2 linked regions of the Coturnix japonica genome follow. The protein of the gene in region 2 binds, or shares a complex with, the protein of the main gene of each other region. Links are inferred from orthologs where the notes say so. Each region holds a gene or a part of one and is shown on either strand. Other genes may lie near its edges. The genes, in order: HOMER1 and GRM5.

Region 1 (3,873 bases), on a different chromosome or scaffold from region 2:
ACAACTTCAGAGACCAGCAATGTACAGCTAGGTATGCACCACTCAGCTGCTTCATTTGTCAGATGGTACTCAACCAGCCAAGCAGGGTCAGTTATACTGGCAGAACAGGGAATTCTTTATAATAACCCATAAAGTAAGACAGCCATTGCTGATTAGCTAAGCTATTATTTCTACCCAGTTCCATTTTTTTCTTTGCCCAGACCATGGATAAAAGCAAACTCTCCACCATCCAGATACTACAGATCCACCATATGAACTCATGCATGATAGCAACCGAATATACAAAGATTGTTCCGAAAGTAATGCATTCTATTTATTTCCATGGGGACCTCAACAGATAGAAAGAGCACAAGAACTCCATTTGATAGAGAACATTTTCTCTATAAAATGCACTTTTTCAGCACAGTCGCTACCATTAGCCAACCTGCACGGAGCAGCAGATCAAGATGCTCTTCATTTCGTGGTCTGACAGCTGTGCAGAGCTGTCCCCAGCACGATTTGTCTTTCACACCACTACTGCCACTGCTGAAACACACCTCCCACTGCCTCACTCTGCTCACATCCACAGGTTGCTCTTCACAAACTTCCAGCAAGTGTCTGTGAATGTCAGTGGGTGCTACCTTTTCCACATGGGGGAATTTAATGCCACACCTTCACTTCATTCACACTTCCATGTCAGACGCCATTTTGTCAGACCGCCCCTCTACTGCCATCTGGCACAGCAACAACATGGAATGGATTATTAGGGGGACAGTTCAAGCTTTCCTGCCATACCACTGACACGTGCCCTTGATGCCGTGATCCAGCAGAATAAAATTGAAGGCATTACTTTTGAAGCAGTCCTCACATGGATGAACGCATGATTATCAGTCATTTTCCAACCTGCTTCTAACGGGCTTGATTTTAAGACCTTAACAGAGTATCAGAAGACTATTTTTATAACTGCAGTGTTAAGATTCTAGTACACGTTGGTCTCAAAATAGCCCAAAATCCATAGGGAACTGCATTTAGATGCTAATTCAAAACAGCTTTTGAAAGAAGACTCTGAACATCAGCAAATGCCCAGTACATAACTGCAGGTCTAGAGGGTTGGCACAGGCTTAGATGTGCTCCCCCAGACTTGCATGGCAGGGGGGGCCACCAATAACACACGCTCAGATTTCTGGTTATCTCCATCTTGCTAAGAGACTGTCTGCAAAGGAACTCAGTTGCCATACCTCAACGTGCATCGTCTGAAGGCTCTTCAAAACACAAGCCAACAACTTTTGCCATCTTGACCTCAGTGTGCCAGGATATCACCCTGAAGTCATCACAAAAACATCCCTGCATTATTTCTCCAAATATTTTTTTTTGCATAGTTCTTCAGTATTCAGCCTTTTCACCACTCTCTACAGATACCAGTTTGTTCATTGAGAAACTGCAGCACTCATGCACCAGCAGCACTAAGTTTATTAAATGGAGGGGGCTCTCAATCTTTTTATATATATATATATATTTTTTTTTCCAAATCAGACATTTGTCTTCAGAAAGCTCTGTTAGAGAAAAAACAATGCAACAATGCTTATTACTCAATGTTTTTCAGCATTTGCAGCAAGCTACACCTAAACAGCATGCCTGCAAATAACATTGATTTTAAATAAATGTTATCTTTTCCCATCATTCGAATTTTAAAAGGTGAAAAATTCTGTGCCTGTCCAGCAGCTTTAAGGATAAAGCCCCCAAATGTTGTACTACCATTCAGCCTTTAGCCAGAAGATATGACCACTTCCCTGAAGATGCAGACAACTGCAAGCTTGGGATTATTCTGTACATATATACATGTATATATATTTAATGGAAAATAAAAGCTGAAGACTAGCAAGACGTTCCTTTCTACACCTTGCACAGTGAGCGTGCCCCGCTGACTCGGAGTGCTGGGGAACAGCTGCCACCGCCACCACAGGCAGGTTCGTACATTGGAGAGTTCCATGTGCCTTTGACAGCTGGAGGAGCGATGCACCTGCAGCTCCACGTTACTGCACTATGCTAATTTACACCCAAATTCCTGAATGACCCAAAACCAAACGACTCGAGTTGCAACTCTTACACACTGAGCTACATACAGCGGTCTCAGAAAACCAGAGTCTTGTTGATGCATTAAAAGCCTGCCTCTACATTGCGGTTATCCAAATCACGTTGTGCTTCTGCTGCTTTGGAACATGGACGAGTTTCCACTCCATCCGGAGGTTACCAGGCAAGCACAGCAGTAAGCGTTATTTCATCATCTCTCCGTACAAAGGCGAGATTGCAAACGTGGAAAGTTTCCACAGGTATCTATGCCACTTTTATGTCTCCTAGACCTGATGCAGCTAGCTTCATTTTGAAGATTTAATTCCTTCCCATCTCCTTAAAATTTCGGGCGTATGTCCCCACGCGTTCGGGGGACGCGCTGTGAAGCGGATCTCTTTAAAGCCTCCTTCACATGTGGGCACCTTACACGCCCGATATCCCCCGAAGGCTCCAGGACAACCAGCCCCGGCCGCGCTGCAGCTCTCTCCCCACACCGAGCCCGAGCCGACCGCTCTCGGGCCCGACCGGGCAGGGCAGGGACCCGGCGGGCAGTCGACACGGATCCGACACTCGGCGCTACGGCGGGCAGAGCCCCGCATCCGTGCTCAGCGCCGATGGCAGCGGCACCCGCTCCCCGCTGCTCCCCGCTGCTCCCGCCCCCACCCCACCCCACCCCGCCCCGCCGCAGCCCGGCGGCCCCGCGAGGTGCTTAGAGGTGCTTACCCCATGGCGGCCGGCGGCGCCGGGCACCGGCGGTACCGCGCGGGCCGCGTCCCCGGGGCGCTCCTCGCCGCGCCGCGCCTCGCCGCGCCGGCAGCTCCGCAGCCCCGTGGCGGCGGTGGGGAAGCTCCGCCGGGCTTCCCGCGCCACTCCGCGCAGGCCCGCGGGTCGCGCCGCCGGCTGGCAGCGGCCGAGCCGAGCCGAGCCGCCCGCACCCTACGGAGCGCCCCCCGCGGGCCGGGCTCGCATGGCCGCCGGCCCCGCCGGGCGTCCGCAGGCAGCGGCTCCGGCCCCCGAGCGGGCGTGTGGCGGCGGCTCGGCGTGCGGACGGATCCCCAACCGCGGGTGGGAGGAGGCAGGGAGAGAAGGAGGGCCCGAGAGAGGGAGGCGCTCCCCTTTCTCCGCGCGGGGCTGGCGGCGGCTGCGGCGCTTGTCGCCGGGCGGTGCGCGGCCACCGAGCGCTCGGCGCGGCGCCTCAGAGGCGGAGCGGGACGGGGCGGGCGGTGCGCTCAGGGCTCCGCGCCGCCGCTCCCCCTAGCAGCGCGGCGGGCAGCCGTGCATCTCCCCGAGGCGGCAGAGCGAGCCGCGGCACCGGCATCGGGCATCGGGCTGCAGGCGGCGGGCACCGGGTCGCCGCGATCCGCCCGCCCGCCCCCGGCTGCGGAGACGCGGGGCGCCGCTCCTCCTTCCCGCGGCGGGTCCGCGCCTGGCCGTCACGCCTTCTGCTGCGGACAGCGGGCGGGCATCGCGCCGGGGCGCGGCGGGACGGGCGCTGCCAGCGGGCGGGGGGCGGGACGGGCGGCCGCCGCCCGGCCGAGGGTGCGCTGCGGCGGGGCCGCGGGCTCAGAGCCGGCAGCGGGGTGGGACCGGGTGGAGGAAAGGAGGGACGGAGGGAGCGGGCGGGGGACGCGGGGGGAGCGAGCAGCGCGTCAGGCGGTGCCCGGCTGCTGCGAGCCGCTGCCTGCGGCCGCCCGCATCCCCGCCTCCGCCTCACACCTCTGCCTCCGCCCGCTGTGGCGGTGGGCAGGCCCGGCCGGCAGCCGACCCACCGCCCCGGGGCTGAGACCGGGAACCTGGGCAGGAGCGGGAACGGAACCGGCCGCG
Region 2 (3,818 bases):
ACTCTCATTTATTTGATTTATTAGCTTCAACTCTAATTATACGGTATTACTTTGTATTATGGTGTGTTATCTTGCATTTCAATATCTTATTTAGTAAGGTAGTTTGTTTCTTCTCAAATTGCTGCTGCTGTTTTGTTTTCAGGCCCATCTCTCTTTCCTTTTTTTCCCTTTATTCCTTCCTGGGGTTGTGGGCCCCTGGGTCCCTCTGCCTCACTAATCACAGAACTAGGCCTAACCAGTCCATAAATCATTGACAGACGGGTACAAAGAATGACTTGTTAACCTATACAGAAACTGAAAAAAAAACCACCAAATGTCCTTAGAAGGGGCTGAACATTTTTAATTCAGCTTTGATTCTAATTTATTGTTATCAGTTTGATTTGGTCAACTATATGAGGGATTAATTCCTCAAACATCTTCAAAGCACAAATGACAGATAAGGAAACGAGCACTGTGGGGCATGCCCAAACTATGTATATCTGCATCTTTAATCCCAGAAAAATCCTTCTGGATAAAAATTTATTCTCTATGAGAAAGAAGTACTCTTTTTCTTGATGGCTAGAATATCTGCATAGTCATTAATTAAGTACTAATATACTTAGTGTATGTTACCATATCATTGATATCTGCTCCTCAAAGGGCATGTGCTATACAGACAACTTTTGAGCATTTCACATCAAAGCAATGCAACTTGATAATGAAATTTGTCCTTAAATTACTAAATATATATATATATATATATATATTCTGCTGTGATGAGAGGTGACTTCTTAATTTGTTTGGACATGTTTTCAGTCATAGTGTTAGATTGTTAGACTCCAAGCAGATAAAGTGTGTTACTGAATTAAGCTGTCACTGAAAAATATTTAGTATGCCATTATATCAACATAATACTAGCTTACACTGATGGTAACAGCAACTTCATGAAAGAGAAAATAAGAGAAAAATTGGGGCAATCTATAACATTGTCATTAAACAATCTAATTCCTACATGCTTCAATTTACTTTTTGTTGTTGTTGTTCCCTGTAGGTTGTGACCTCATCCCGGTCCAGTATCTCAGATGGGGTGATCCTGAACCAATTGCAGCGGTTGTTTTTGCGTGCCTGGGTCTGCTGGCAACCTTGTTTGTTACAGCTATATTCATAATGTACCGTGATACTCCAGTGGTCAAATCTTCCAGCCGAGAACTTTGCTACATCATTCTAGCTGGCATCTGCTTGGGTTATTTGTGCACCTTCTGTCTCATCGCAAAACCTCAACAGATTTACTGCTATCTTCAACGAATTGGCATCGGTCTCTCCCCAGCTATGAGTTATTCTGCTCTAGTAACTAAAACCAACCGCATTGCAAGAATCCTGGCTGGAAGCAAGAAGAAAATTTGTACAAAGAAACCCAGATTCATGAGTGCCTGTGCCCAACTTGTTATTGCATTTATCTTGATATGTATACAATTAGGCATAATTGTTGCCCTCTTTATAATGGAGCCACCCGATATAATGCATGATTACCCAAGCATCCGAGAGGTCTACTTGATTTGTAACACCACCAACTTGGGTGTTGTAACCCCCCTTGGATACAATGGATTATTAATTTTGAGTTGCACCTTTTATGCATTTAAGACAAGAAATGTCCCAGCTAATTTCAATGAAGCAAAGTATATTGCCTTTACAATGTATACCACCTGCATCATATGGCTGGCTTTTGTGCCAATATATTTTGGAAGCAACTACAAGATAATCACCATGTGTTTCTCAGTGAGTCTGAGTGCCACGGTGGCCCTTGGTTGTATGTTTGTGCCCAAGGTCTACATCATCCTTGCTAAGCCTGAAAGGAACGTACGCAGCGCATTCACCACATCGACTGTGGTCCGCATGCATGTAGGGGATGGAAAGTCATCTTCGGCTGCAAGCCGCTCAAGCAGCCTGGTGAACCTGTGGAAAAGAAGGGGATCATCTGGTGAAACACTTAGGTAAAGTCTGCTAATGTGTGAGTGTGGGGAAGTTATTATGTTTTTCTGAGGGTTAAGTAATAATGCTAATAATGAATGGACAGAGGGATATATATGAATTCCCTTTGCCTCTCCACTGGGAGAGGAAAAGTCCACTTTCCCACATCTATAACAGCTACAGGTCTGATTTAGTCAAAATGTTGTGCAAAAGCAGGTCACAGAGCAATGGACAAACAATCACAGAGATGGAAGCATTGGCTGTGTCAACTGTACACTTCTTGCAAGAAGGGAAGTAAGATCTTAGGAGGGAGAAAAAAAGAACAAGAAATATTACTAATTGCCTTGTCCTTAATGCACTCATTTGCAAGCTCTTTTACTTGAATGAATTGCACAGTCACTGTATTTTTTCTCTAGCCACAGCAGGAAGACAACAGAGTGGCTGTTAATGCTACACAATCAAGGTGGAGTAGCCAACACAAGTGGCATCATGAGTGGCCACTCAGGCATCTGATGATTTGTCTCATGTGACTCTTCTGTTATGCCTTTCCTCTTCTATTACTTGATTTTCCTTTCTTCTGTTGTCTCTCCCTGACTTCTTTCTCTTTGTCCTTACCTATCTTCTCTTCTTTACCTATCTTGATATCTTTTTCTATATTCATCTTCCTAACTCCATCAAAGTTAATTGCTCACTGGCCCCACTTTTGCTACTTACTCTTCCTGCCATCAACCAGATACCCTCTTGTCAGCTATTTCTTTGTTTCTTCCCACAAAAACACCTGAATTCAGTGATCATGATGACAGCTTGTATGTGCATTATATAAAAACTACAGTCAGTGAACACCAGGGGAAAAGGAGAACTCTAAAGCAGAAATACAGTCTGGACTCATAGACTGTGCAGGAGTGCATCCAAGCCAGTGATTCTTTTGATCTCTTACCCTTTTGATATAGGGGTGATGAGGGTGATTTGGGGTTATTTAATTGTTAGCATAAACATGAAATTCTGCCTATATGAATGCAGAAATATTGCAGAAATCTTATCATTCCTCAGCTCTATGCGCCTCGCCCAGAAGTGACAGATAGCTGTATTTTCCTCCTTGCTGAAACACATGGGTTTTATGATTGATAATATGAATACTTCTTGACACGTCATTGTTCACAGTGAAGTTTGCATGGAACATGGGCAATTTGTAGTTCATTTTCTCTGTGACCCACTGTTTTGATTCAAGGGAGAATATTAGTATTATTACCCAGAGGACAGTTTTTGTCAAAATGATTATTGATTTCTGCCAGATTATTACTCATGATTCTCTTTCAGTGATTTTTAATTGACACAGAAAATGATGGGTTTTTACAAGGTATCTTATACTTACTATCTATAAACAGCATTATCTTTCATTTCATTTCAAGATGAAAGTTAGGATGCTGTTTCAAAATGGTAGATCCTGTATCAGCTTATTTGATGGTTACCTGAAATGTACCTCTGTACAGACTCTGTAAGCTTGTGTGACATGAGATGTTGAAGCTAGGAGCCCTGAAACCACTTCTGGGCTGGTAAAAGAGGTATTCTTGATAGTGTCCTCAACAGGATGATATTCTTCCTCTTTGAGTTCATTCTTATCTATCCTCATTTTCATTTCAGTACTCATGTGCCATCTCACAACTTTTTTCCTGGCAAGAAAAAATTACAGATAACAGAAAGATCTTGGGCTTGGAAAGGGTTTGTTTGTCATGTGTTAAGGCTCAGTTTTAAAAAAGAGTACAGAGTGTCTTAAAGACAAAATATATTTTCTTCTTTTGGAGGACTTAGTTTCCATTTCTTTATGCCTCAATGCGTAGAATACGCCTGCAGTATAGATTTATTAGTAAAAC

Evidence for each region.
Region 1: the proteins of GRM5 (region 2) and HOMER1 are in contact, whole or in part, in a crystal structure (PDB 1DDV), measured with the Rattus norvegicus proteins. The link is inferred for Coturnix japonica from reciprocal best matches to the Homo sapiens genes GRM5 and HOMER1. Residues at the interface, in XP_006229721.1 of Rattus norvegicus: Thr1155, Pro1156, Pro1157, Phe1160; in NP_113895.1 of Rattus norvegicus: His12, Phe14, Trp24, Thr70, Ser71, Gln72, Lys73, Phe74, Gly89, Phe90.

The regions. Positions count from the first base shown.
Region 1 is NC_029547.1:12,910,552-12,914,424, forward strand, and holds the start of HOMER1 (homer protein homolog 1), read right to left. Parts: upstream 2,837-3,873; 5' UTR 2,778-2,836; coding exon 2,773-2,777; intron 1-2,772. UniProt on the Homo sapiens protein: Postsynaptic density scaffolding protein. Binds and cross-links cytoplasmic regions of GRM1, GRM5, ITPR1, DNM3, RYR1, RYR2, SHANK1 and SHANK3.
Region 2 is NC_029516.1:168,275,313-168,279,130, forward strand, and holds part of GRM5 (metabotropic glutamate receptor 5), read left to right. Parts: intron 1-1,030; coding exon 1,031-1,970; intron 1,971-3,818. UniProt on the Homo sapiens protein: G-protein coupled receptor for glutamate. Ligand binding causes a conformation change that triggers signaling via guanine nucleotide-binding proteins (G proteins) and modulates the activity of down-stream effectors.